3 linked regions of the Coturnix japonica genome follow. The protein of the gene in region 1 interacts with the protein of each later gene in a pairwise test. Links are inferred from orthologs where the notes say so. Each region holds a gene or a part of one and is shown on either strand. Other genes may lie near its edges. The genes, in order: NFYC, DR1 and LMO4.

The links.
Region 2: the proteins of NFYC (region 1) and DR1 interact in binary tests that used the Homo sapiens proteins (3 or more experiments, as listed by UniProt). The link is inferred for Coturnix japonica from reciprocal best matches to the Homo sapiens genes NFYC and DR1.
Region 3: the proteins of NFYC (region 1) and LMO4 interact in binary tests that used the Homo sapiens proteins (3 or more experiments, as listed by UniProt). The link is inferred for Coturnix japonica from reciprocal best matches to the Homo sapiens genes NFYC and LMO4.

What each region holds. Positions count from the first base shown.
Region 1 is NC_029538.1:4,321,854-4,326,178, reverse strand, and holds the start of NFYC (nuclear transcription factor Y subunit gamma), read right to left. Parts: upstream 2,871-4,325; 5' UTR 2,747-2,870; intron 2,497-2,746; exon of another isoform or gene 2,369-2,496; intron 2,215-2,368; exon of another isoform or gene 2,071-2,214; intron 1-2,070. UniProt on the Homo sapiens protein: Component of the sequence-specific heterotrimeric transcription factor (NF-Y) which specifically recognizes a 5'-CCAAT-3' box motif found in the promoters of its target genes.
Region 2 is NC_029523.1:12,067,185-12,070,819, reverse strand, and holds part of DR1 (protein Dr1), read left to right. Parts: intron 1-1,602; coding exon 1,603-1,749; 3' UTR 1,750-3,635. UniProt on the Homo sapiens protein: The association of the DR1/DRAP1 heterodimer with TBP results in a functional repression of both activated and basal transcription of class II genes.
Region 3 is NC_029523.1:13,758,141-13,762,517, forward strand, and holds the start of LMO4 (LIM domain transcription factor LMO4), read right to left. Parts: upstream 2,851-4,377; 5' UTR 1-2,850. UniProt on the Homo sapiens protein: Transcription cofactor. Plays a role in establishing motor neuron identity, in concert with MNX1, acting, at least in part, to disrupt LDB1-LHX3 complexes thereby negatively modulating interneuron genes in motor neurons.

The sequences.
Region 1 (4,325 bases):
ACACTCTTGTGGGTCACCTTCAGGGAATAAAGGCAGCCTAAAGTGACCCACTTTGACTCATCAGGCAGAGACCAAACAGGACAGCAAACCATAGACAACAGGAGAGAATCCCCACGGTGAGATCTCAGCATGCAGGAATTGTTGGGTTCTGAGCAATACACAACAGGAGCTTCCTCAGCAGGACCCGACGTTTGGACACACTGACAATGCCATTGAAGTTAACCATACCAATCTGATTCACTTCCAGTGCAGGCAGCCCGAGAAGCTGCTTCCTGTACCTACACCACTGGAATACAGATGTCACGCTGCATTATATAAATATCACATCCCAGGCCAATTCAAGGAACCCAACAATACAAACACCAACACAAGCTCTGAAGGTGACCTCCTGCAGGCCCCTGAGTGTCTCAGCCCATAGGAACCAGCTTCCCACAACAACCCCATGTCCTCTATGCCTTCCCTGCTTGTTCTGCCAGCTGTGTTAATACAAGAAATAACCATGGAAAATACCCATACAAAACACAGGGCCTGGTTTGCAGGCCTGCTCAAAACAGGGACCCTCACATTGCAGCACAAATGGGACATGGGAATATTCCCTCCACTCCATGAGGGTCAGAGTGGGCAGAATGTGGACCCAAATCCCCTTTCAGTGCTGGATTGAGCAGCACCTACTGCTGTACATCCACGGCCTATTGCAAGCTCAAGATCCGAAATATGACCAATGCTGGATGTAAAGAAGACTCTGGCTACATCTTAAAAGCATGGAGCAGCTGAATACATCCAAAATACATGGAAAAAGCAGCTTAAAATGGCTCATCTCTAAGAGGCCAGCAGTGACCTTCTTGCTAGTGACAATGCCCAGGTGCCCCACAGGTGCTGCTGCCCCACCAATGACCCGGAGCAGCCACTGGTACCAATAGGGGATGGTTTCCCTCTGCCCTGTTCAGAGCTGAAACCACATGAAGCCACAGAAAGCTGAGGCTGAAGAAGGGCAATGATTTTCACCAGGGACACTCAGAGGCTGCAGCAACTCAGGCTGCAACCAGAGCCCAGTGTGGTCCCTCAGTTACAGGTGGCATCACCGAGGGTCGAGCTCAGGGAACGCGCCCAGCCCTGACATAAGATGCACAATGTAATTACAACATAATTACCTCCAGGTCTGAGAACCGTGATTCTGAAGGCAGCAATCTAAAGCTGGACAACAAAAAGCCGTGGAGTGGGCTCAGCACAACGACTTGTGTCCTGCAGCCCTACCAGCACCACAAGGACATGCCAACATCCCACTGCACTGCAGGGTGCGGAATGCCTGCAATGTGCACTCAATTTGACCAGCACACCGTTCCCTGTGCCCTCAGAGCTGTGGTTGAGGTGGAGCAGCTTCATTTTCCAACTCACATTCTTTTCTTTTTCCTTTTCCATCCCCGGCCAAAGCGCCGTAAACAAACTTTGTCCTTCATTCTGGAGGCCGGGAGCCGCGGCATCTCAAGGTCACTGCTGCTCATGTGGGGAGGCCTCACTCTGGCGCTGGGCTGCAGCTCAGCACCGGCTCCAGGCCCGTGTTCCCCCGTGGCTGCCCACTCACCCGTGTCTCTCTCATCTCTGTGATCACAGTGTGTGCCCAGCGCTGCTCGGAACCTCAGTGACCTTCAGTGTTCGGTGGCAAACGGGACAGAAAACAAAGGGCTGCGGGCAGGAGCCTGGATTCGGCTGTGGGCCCGATGCCCCCGGTGCCGTTGGGCCGCAGAGGCCGGTTGTCCCGCATCCCCGTTTATCTCCATCCCCACGGCACAGCACGGCACACACCGGGTACAGGCGCTGCCATTTTGTGCCCCCCCTCAATCCACGCTCCCGGTTGGCGGCTCAGCCCCGTTTGACCCCTCCGTTCACCCCCCCCTTTATCTCCTCCTCCTTCTCCTCCAGGCCGGGGCTCAGCCCGGTGCACGTTCCGGTACCGTCAGCCCCGTCCATCCACCCGCACGGCGGGGAGGCCCCGAGCGGTGCCATGGCCGCGCTGTCACCGGGCCGCCCCCCGCCCAACCCGCGCTGTCCCCGCAAGCGCCACCGACTCACCGAGCCGCAGGGGGCCCCCACCGGGTGGGTCGGGCCGGTGCCGCGGGGCGGCGATCCCCGTTCATCCCGGTCCGTTCCGCCATTCCTTTGTCTTTGAGCTGACCCCTGTCTGCCGGGACTCCACGTCCCCGCCGGACCGGGACGCGGCCCCTTTAAGAGCCGCCGCTCAGCCTACCCTGCTGCGCCCACCCCGCCGCGCCCATTGGCTGAGCGCCGCCGGGGGGAGCCGCGGTCCCGAGCGCTGATTGGCTGCCGCCGGCGGCTCGGCCCGCCCGCCCGCTTCCTGCTTTCAAGTTACCTTGAGGCGCAGCGCAGGGGTCACAGCGCCGCCCAACCGCGGCCCCTCAGCAGCGCGGCCTTACGCCCTCCAATCCCGCTGCACGACGCTGATTGGCCAGCCGACACGCGGAGGGGGCGAGCGGCGCTTCCGATTGGCCAGCGCCGCTGTCACTCTCCGCAACGCCCGCCCCACCCCGCGCCGCGCGGGGAAACGGCCGAGCTCCCGGTCCGCCTGTGGGCAGCCAATCAACGCGCGGCTTCTTCCGCCCGCCTCCCCTCGCGCGGGCCAATCAGCGCGCGCGGCGCGGCTATGCCAATCGGAGGGGGGGGGGGCGCGGCCCTGACTAGGCCGCCCGCCTCCCCCCGCCGCCATCCAACCCGCCCCTCACGTACTCACCGTGCCGGTCGGCGCCGCGATCTCCGCCTCCTCCGCCCGGCGGCCGAACGGCGGGAGGCGGGAGGGGGAGGGGTGCGGCTGGAGCTGGAGCGCGCGCCCGGCGGCCGAGAAACAAGATGGCGGCGCAGCCGTGAGGCGGCGGGGCGGAGGCCACGCCCCTTCCCCTTGGGCCGCTTCAACGCGCAGGCGCATGACCCGGGGCTGATCTCGCGAGATTTCGGCCGGGGCGGGAGCCAACGGGCGGGGCCTGGAGCTGGGCTGGGCCGCACCGGGAGCGGAGCGGGGCCGGGAGGGGGCGGGCAAGGCCTCGGGATGGGCTTCGTGTAGACGTGAGGCCTCAGGCCTGGCCTTGTGCACAGCCAGGCACGGAGAGCCGCTCCTCAAGGCCCTGCCGGCACAGTCAGAGCCGTTATATGGCGGAGCTGCCTCACGATGGTTCACTGTTTGCAGCCGGTTTCCAGCTATGGAGGTGCAGCTGTGGAGCTTGTTGTGTGCCCTGCGTGGGACGAGGGAGACCGCAGCCGTGTCTGTATGAAACAGGATGGATCTCAATCCGTTGTGCTTTCAGAGCCCTTAAGGCTGTGTGCTGGTGGCACCAAAATGCAGCAAACTCACCCCGTTTTATTGCAAATCATGGAGGTTTGGGGACATTGATAATGCACAGCAGCCAAGAGGAGCAAGAGATGAGCCACAGCGCTTAGTAACAACTGCTTTCCCCCTCCTGATTCCCACTATAAGCCGGTCTCCTTTTGCTGCACCGTCAGGGAGCCGTGATGTGCACAGCAGCCCCTTGCTGCAATGACTCATTTATAAATCAATTAGCCACAACTGCTGCTGACTGCTGCTGCTCCCAGCTGCACAACAGCCAGCTGTCTCCGTGCTGAAGGAGGGCATTGAGTGCAGCACCCACCCCTCCTCCTGCTGGATCCCTTTGCGTTGCCCTGTGCCCGCGATGCTCCATTTCCTTCCCACCTGCTCTTGGTTTCCCCAAGGATCTCAGCCATCTGCAGACACAGAGATGTCCATGTCAGCCTGCTTGAAACAGAGGAGCCAAGAAAAACCCCCACCAACCAACCAACCAACCAAGCAACCAACTAAACCCCACAGCAGCTTTTTTTCCACTTGCTGGTTCCTGTGTGATTCCTTGTGGTGCTTTGTTGATTTCACACTTGCTGACATCTGCTACCTGCTCAACCGGGGCCTCCTGTGCCAGCAATGAGACCCAGGGGGGCTGTTCTGCACACAGACTGCAGCCTCCAGCCGGCTTCTATAGGGCTGGGTTTGTTTGGCACTTAAGGAAATGGGTTGCTACAGCAGAGGTTGCACTCCTGGCCTTCCTCCCATCAGTCAGCCCTCTCCCATCCCACCTGGCTCCCATTACAGCATCCCTCTGCACTGATCCCAAACCAGCAGTTGCTTTGGGACGAGCATCCCCAAGCAAAGAAATGAGTAAAGAAGAAAAAATCTGGATGTAAATAATGGATTGAGATCCACCTGAACACAGAGACGTTGCCTTGTAGAGCTGGGAGAATAAAAAGAAGCCGTTTGGGGTCAGATGTGGGGGCTCTGTGGTCCAGCA
Region 2 (3,635 bases), on another chromosome or scaffold:
ACATAAAACAAGAATGCTAAAAACCATTGCTACCTTATGTAGGCAGAATGGGCCACGTGAAGTGTGTTTTGGTGGTTGTTTTAAATTCCATAATACTGTGCCTTAGTGCCTAAATTAAAGACAGTACATGCAGGTTTAACAAAATTGTGTTGATTTTTATATGATTTTTAAAAGTGTTATGTTACAACGTGGCAAGTATTACTTAATACTAAATTACACTTAATTAACTTGAATTAAGCACAATTAAATTATACGTAAGTTGGTATGAGGATGGTGGTGAATGTTTAAAGTTAGTCTAATGATTCTTCCTGATATTCGTGCATGTCTAAAAGTGTGGAAGATGAGGTCATCAACAGAAGTGTTCTTTTTGAGGCTTCCTTACTAAAGGTTGCTTGTAAAGTTCCTGTGTAAATGGGTTGCTCGATAAATGAGTTCAGTTTACCCCAGATGCTGTTAAGGCTTCTTAGTCAATACAGCTGATGCTGCAGATTTACAGCATCTTGAATTGTTTTCCAACCTTTTTAGCTTGGCTACTGCTTAAACTTAGAAATACTGAGAAGTCCTCATTGGGAAGTGTTGAACAGGCTGAGAAATTGCAACACTTCTTATTGTATAGGAAGACTTCTTTTTTTCATGTATACTAAATAGGTAAACTGGTTTTGATCATTTTCTGAAGTACCATCTTTTGGTGTCTTGAAGTTTGGAAAGCTGGTTTGTTGAGGCTTTGGAAAAAGAAAGGAAAATTCAGTGAGCAAATAAAGAATACTGAAGGTTTTTAATTTAGAGAACTTTCAAAACAGAAAATGAAACGTTAACACAGTGTTGAAATCAAAAATAGTTGCTGAAAAACAGAAAAAAAGCTCTAAATGGGAAAATGGGAAGGCACCATGTGAGCTACTTGAAGAACATGGTTAGAACATCTTGTACCTTGAAGTACAGATAACATGCCTTTCTGTAACAAAGGCATCTCAACCTGCCTCTCCTTATTTAAGAAGAGCTCAGATTGCTCTGTTTTCCCAGGATGGCTTAGCAGAGTGAGATAATGGATTTCTTCATTTCTGTGGGTTGGTTTTTGGTTTTTTTTTGTTTTTGTTTTTGTTTTTTGGTGGTTTTTTTGTTTGTTTTCTTTTTGTATTTCTACATGCTGTGGTGAGAGGGATGAATTTGTAATTGCCAACATTATTTGTAATCAGCAGTGTAGGACTGTTCTCGTCTCTGAATGGTGGCTGAATGCTAAGAGGCCTTGAAACTGAGCCGTAAATTATTTTATTGCTTTGTCTTGCTTTATCTTTTCATTAGTAAGTGGTTCAGTACAACCCTTACAATGAAACTAAAGAGGTGTGGACTAATGTACTTGTTCTGGAAAGTATAAATCCTCTAAATGTTGGCCTCTTCAGAGGAAGAGCAAATATAGCTGGACATCCTAGTACAAATAACAAAGGTATTTCTAGACATGTTTTCTAGACATGTGTGTGCACAGTTAATAAAAAATTATGTAAAAGGAGCCTACAGGTGCAGATAAAACTGCTTTTATAGCTAAGGTGCTCTAGAGATTCTTCACAAGTTACAGTATGACCTTAACAATTAAATTCATGTCTTTAGGCTAGACAACAGCAAGCAGAACTGGCACAGCAAGAGTGGCTGCAGATGCAACAAGCAGCTCAACAGGCACAACTTGCTGCTGCCTCAGCCAGTGCATCCAATCAGGCAGGATCTTCTCAGGATGAAGATGATGAAGATGATATCTGAAATTCACCAGCTGGGTTTCTGTCTTCACTAAGAAATATTTTTCCTGCACAATGAAAACAGTGAAATGAATGCTTACCTGTAAGTTTGTATGCATCATGGACTGGCAGTTGGTATTCTAGGGGTGTCTGCTGTTGTGTGCTGTACATGTATAAACTGTCTTTTTTTGAACTCTTGAAGATTTAAGGTTCAGTATCATATCGACTTTGGATTTTTAATGGTGTATATGGAAATTTTAGATAGCAGTGCGTCACTTATTTGATCAATAAACAGTGTTACAATGAACAACAAGTTTATAAAATACAGTGAGATTTATACAAAAAGCTCTAAATCCACATTTGCATTTCTTCCCTTTTAACTAAACTATAAAATCTTACTTAGAATTTTTAATTGTTTTTGGGGGGAGTGGTACAGTAGAGGTAAACTGTTAATGGGAAAGAAGTCAAGTTCAGCATAGTACAGTCTTGAATTCTTTGTTCTTTTTAAAATGCGGATATATATGGCAATAAATACTATAAATGCTCCAATACCACACTTGTTACCATTTGAAAATGATACCTTTCCTAGCTTGGTGAAAACGTATGTTTAATAGGAGTTGTACAAATTGAATCCTTTTTGGTATGGGATGGAAAAAAATAAACCCATGGTTTTATTACTACGTCCTTTGACAGTCAGTCCTGACTGAATATTTTACTTGGAAGACTGCCAGTTTTGGAAAACTAACTCTTCTTATTGTTTTGCTCCGATTTAATGTTACCTGTTGATGTTATTGCGTAGTCCAGATATGTTCATATTGTTGAAATATAAAACTGGAACTTGATGAAACAGAACTGTTCTGGTTCCGCTGATGTAACTGGGAATGATTCAAGCCTGTGAAGGCAAAAGCTGAAGCTCCGAGCATGCTTACAATAAAAGAGGGATTTTATTTAACCTTGATAAGTCATCGTTGTCAGCGTAATGCTAATGTTTTCCACACTAGGTTGCCACTGGATTATTAGAATACTTTCAAAGATAACATTTTCATCACTCAAATTGGTTTGTAGGTAAGTCCAGGTTTTTGACAAAGGATTTCCCAAAGTGATGGGTAAGACATGGAACAGAACTGTAGTAGTCCTTTTGATAGTTGATTTGAAAATTCTGTTGATTAATGGATGAGCGGCTGTTCTTTGTGTTGAAATAAAGCACAGTAGTGTCCATTACTGGGTTTTAATGTGTTACTTGAAGTAATACTGTCATATCTTCTGGTACACTAATCTGAGCAGACTAGAAAAGCCACTTGTGTACTGCTGTAGATGATCTCATAGCTCTGTAACAATGCAGTTTGTTTATTTTAACCTGAGACCTCAGCAGGTTGCTCTAGTCGTGGGTCCTGAGGAGGGCAGCAAGTCTGTTTGTGTAAGGATACAAGTGGAAAACATCATGTCCATTTTTACATAACGATCTGAACAAGGTACAATTGGCATATATTCAGGTCTGAGTCTCTTAGTGACTTTTAAGTGTGAGATGCGTTAAGTTTCATATAGAGTAAATGTGAACACTTCCTTAAATGCATTAATACAGTGAAAAGTCAGAAATGTATTTTAATATTTAAGTTAAAACAAACGAAAAACCTTTCACAGCTACTATATGATATGTGTTAGGCAAGGTTTGATTAAGGAAGTGGTTTTCTGTGAAGGTTTAAGTACCAAAGGTAGAAAATCTAGTCTAGTGATACAATGTTAATGTGCAGTGTTGGCTTTTCTAATTTGTACTGTAACACCTTCACACCTTTCTATTTTAAATGAGTCTTTTCCTTTTAAATAATATTAGGTATATTTTCACACCTTTATTTTCTGATGCAGAATTCAGGTTAACATTTTACTGCATCTGGTATGTATGGTGTAATATGT
Region 3 (4,377 bases), on another chromosome or scaffold:
AACATTCAACTGACAAGAAACTACACTGGTGTCTGTAAGTATTAAATAATACTGAGAGCATTAAAAGTTTGCTATCCCTCTGAAATGCAATTTCTTACTCTCTCACTAAGCTCTCAGAGTTGAAGGAAAAAAACAGCATATTTTTTCCATTTCTGGAAAAACCCGTCTTTCTCAAAATGCCAGACCACCTCATTAGTGGAAGCCTTGGTTAGCTTATAGATAGCTGGCAGAGGTGTTTTGTTGTGCTTGTTTCCACTTCATTTTTTCCCCCCACCATTATGAGTAAGTAGAAGTAAAAGCACAGTTTTCATTGCCTGTAATGGGAGCAGAATGTGCTTTTATTTCATAGTCATTTTCCATTCTTCTCCTGGCAGTACCTGGAAAATCACGTGAAGAGAGATGCGACTGTGAGGTAACTTGGTGGTGAAGGCTCCAGAAGCCAACACTAAATGCAGATAACATATTTTTGACTAACAGTGCACATTTACAGCCTCTGACCAGAAATTAAAGAGTACTGTTATATGGAGAAGTCATTAACTGATATTTAAAGCTGGGAAATAGAGGAAGTATGAGGAAACCGAAAATGTAAGGCCTATATTTAACATCTCTTAACTTCAAACTGACCAACTAATGGGGCAAAGCCTTGAAGTTCATTTATAGTGGAAGAAATGAACATGAGACCTACGTGATTAATGCATCTTCTCCTTGAATGTAAGGCTTACGTTAGAAGAAAGCCATGCTGCTTTTGCAGTGTTTCAGAACTGCTGAAGCCAGATCATGTCCTCTCCAGATTCTGGATTAACCAAGGTTCAGACTATACAGCAGAACAGGTCCACAAAAACTTCAAGGCTTTTTTACCAACAGATTTAACTTGTGTCATGGTTAGAAACAGAGTTCATAACTAGTTAGGCTTGAATAGTTATCACAGGTAATGATGCATGGGAAGGAAAACATGCAGTGCTGGGAACATAATTTTCAGGGTCAACTTCAGAAAGCCATACAGTTTTATCTATAGAATCAGCAGAGAAGCAAGCATGCAGCCTGGCATATAAAGGTCATATTGAAGCCACTCTTCAGACATCTCCCTAGCTGGGTGTTGCTGAGCCTGGAGCTGAGCTGTGGCTTCTGCAGCCACCGGCAGGAATAGGGTGCTCTGCCTCCAGGCGGGGCCCACACAACTCTGGCAGATGCCAAGGGAGCAGAAGGCATTGACACCAGCACAAGGGTCCTCAAGATCTTCCAAGAACGAAGGCAGAGAGAGTAAAATAGAAGTAGCTGAGAGATGATACAGCTGCTTTGCAGAGTACAGCCACAACAGGAGCTGTAATCAGAGAGAAAACAGCGTGCCTGTCTGAAATGCTATTTCTGCTTTATTGTGTAAATACAGGAACTATGACTTCATGTCTCACACTTCAAGAGACATACTCTCAGGCTTGTTTTCTTCCATATCTGAGCTCTAAGACATGCAAAATGTGTCTCTGTATTTCAGTTCTGGCTGGAGGTTAATCTCTAGAAACAAGTAATGTAACATTTCCATCTATCTTTTCTATTCTTTTGGCGGTTTTAATTACACTAATATACTATGACACTTTAAACAAGACACATCTCAGCTTATGGCCTGCTCTGCAATGGTTCAGCTGCTGTGTGTGCTCCAGCACATTTTGCTCAGACAGGCTGCTGCAGGCTGGGGGTGCAGAATAGTGCCCTTCTGTCATGAGAGATTTCATTGCACTGATCATTGTGTATTTGACAGACTCTTTGTCAATGTCAAGTGTCTTTTGTGGTTAAGCCCAGTAAAGCTAAAACAAAAGGTCTCCTAGATATTAGATATATAGTGACATTACTGAATTCACTCGGAGGCAGTAATTTTTTGTCAGCCTCTGAAAAGAAAAATGGAGCTAATGGGAAAACAAAAGGAAGATGCTGGCATGTCTTTTTAGCTATTTTTGTTTATGTCAGACAGTGTGATTGACATCTGGCCCAGAACACCCTTTCAACCACCGAGGCTGATGTCATGAAACAGAACAAAGAGAAACTGCCAGGCAAGAAAACACTAATGGCTCAGAAAGCACTTTTTTGGGTTTATTTTCTTTTAAGTGTTTCATTTTCAGTAATCAGTATCACTGCACAAAAGTGCACTCATAGGCACCCCCTCTTACTATTTGGACTTCTAAGTTTCCTTTGTGTTTGCTTTCTTCCTTCTTGCCTGAATGGCACCACAGTTCTGGTTTGGTTGGTTGACAGTCTGTCATAACAGTGATGTTTGAGGTTAGTGAAAACTGACATGAAAAATACAATCCACTGGCCTTTAACTGAAATAGCAGCTCTGTTTTTTTGTGGAGTTGGCAGGCAGCATTTTTAAACCCCTTTCACGGTGAAGGCAGTTACAACATGTTTTTCTCTGTATCAAGCAGTTCCATCATGAAGTGCATTATCTACATCTGTTGTCATATCAGGATACTGCCTTTGAAGAGCAGTTTACTGTTTCTTGTGAGATCACTTCTGCTGAAGCACCCTAAGAGGGTTAAGGAAATTTCATGGTCATTCTCCATTGCCAGGCCCATTACAACGCTTTAACATTTATTTAAGAGAGTTTTAGAAGTGTCAGTGACCAGAACAGCTCCTGCAGACACACAACACCACAGAGACTTCTGCATTTGCTCGCCACTTTGTCAAAATAGGAAGAATCCCAGTGTCCCTCTAATATTGTCTAGAGTCATTATATACATTATAAGCATAATGTTCGCATTCTGCAAGTGCTGTAGATTTTGATGTACTTAGTCAGCGTTATGTGCTAGCAGGAGGAAATTATTCTCTAAATTTTTAACTTTGTCTTGAAAGTATGATGCTAAACATAAACCAAATGACTACGAAAAAAAAAAAAAAGCAACAATAAAACATAAAAGAAAGCTTTTGGCAAGACAAGAGCAGGACATTTTATCAGCTATTTAGGTACAGTTACATTCTGAAATCATTGGAGAATTCTTAACAAAAGAGATCTTAATCACTTTAAAAGATTCCAAGGAATTTGGCCTTTGAATGCATCAGGTGTGCTGCAGCTAAATATCCCTGCACCTTTTTAATAGGGTTTACTCCAGTATTTAATGCAGAGCTATATTCTCCTCTAGAAGCACACACTTAACTCCCCCCAGCACTAATAACAGATATGTTCACACATCGAGTGGAGAATTTTCTCTCTGTCTTTGCACAGTGTTCTAAAAAGAACTTTGAAGAAATTGAGAAAAACAGAAAGAGAAGTATATTAATTTTAAGGAGATGAAAGCACCACATGTCATTCCTAAATTTCATGGAAAATGCTCCGTTAGTAACAAAGATGAGCAGAAAATTTCAAAATCATTTTGAGCAGCATTAAAATCAGTCCTCCCTGATTTTCTGTTTTCCCCTTCTTTTCAAAGCACATACATTAAACTCATTTTATGCTTATAATGTATATAATGATTCCAGACAACATGAGAAGGACATTGGGATTCTTCCTATTTCGACGTATAAAGTGGCAAGCCAATTTATGCAGCTTAAACCATTGCTAAGGAAGATGTATCAAAAAATGCCTGTGATCATTACAAATAACAGCCTGAAATGTTCACAAGAAGCTGTTTGCTTATCATATTTTCATTAAAACATCTTTTCACCTGCTTTGCTTTTCCCATGCCTGTAACCTGCATTGTAATCAGTCTTATTAACTGAGAACATAAATATGATTTATTATAGTCTGATAATGGAAGCTGCATGGACCAAGAGAAGGGATATATTGTCCTTTGATAAAATGGCTCTTTTCTCTCAAATAGAGCTCTATCATGAGAGCATGCAGAATGTAGTGAGTGATTATTTCCTGAGGGTGAATGATGGCAGAACCCTACAGAAAATCTTCTTGTTGGCCATGACAGCCTCCGAGTGTCCCCAAATCTCACTGAGTTTGACAACCTGCAGACACTTTTGATGAACTGTATTCTTCTGTCAGAGACAGCCTGTCTGGGAGGAGAAAAGGGAACCTTTATCGTCTGATCTGCTATTATTGTCTTGATCTTTTATAAGCAATCTCTAATGCACATGAATATAATATCCTTTCACACAAGTGCCAAACATAATAGAAATGTAGTTTAAGGACCTTTTTCCCAGTTATGTAAATGTCCTAGTGCCATAATTATAAAAGATGGTTTGTGAATGATAGCTGTAAGGAAAGGATAATGAAAATGTTTTAACATTATCTTTCTGTTTTAAAGACCAAAACCTGTGATAAATAGCATTTATGGTACATATGGGGAACCAGTTTGTGCTGAAGCTTTTACCTAAAAAAGAATAGTTTTGAGCATAAAACTGGTGTTATATTTTCATAAAACACATAAATGGCAGCTGATC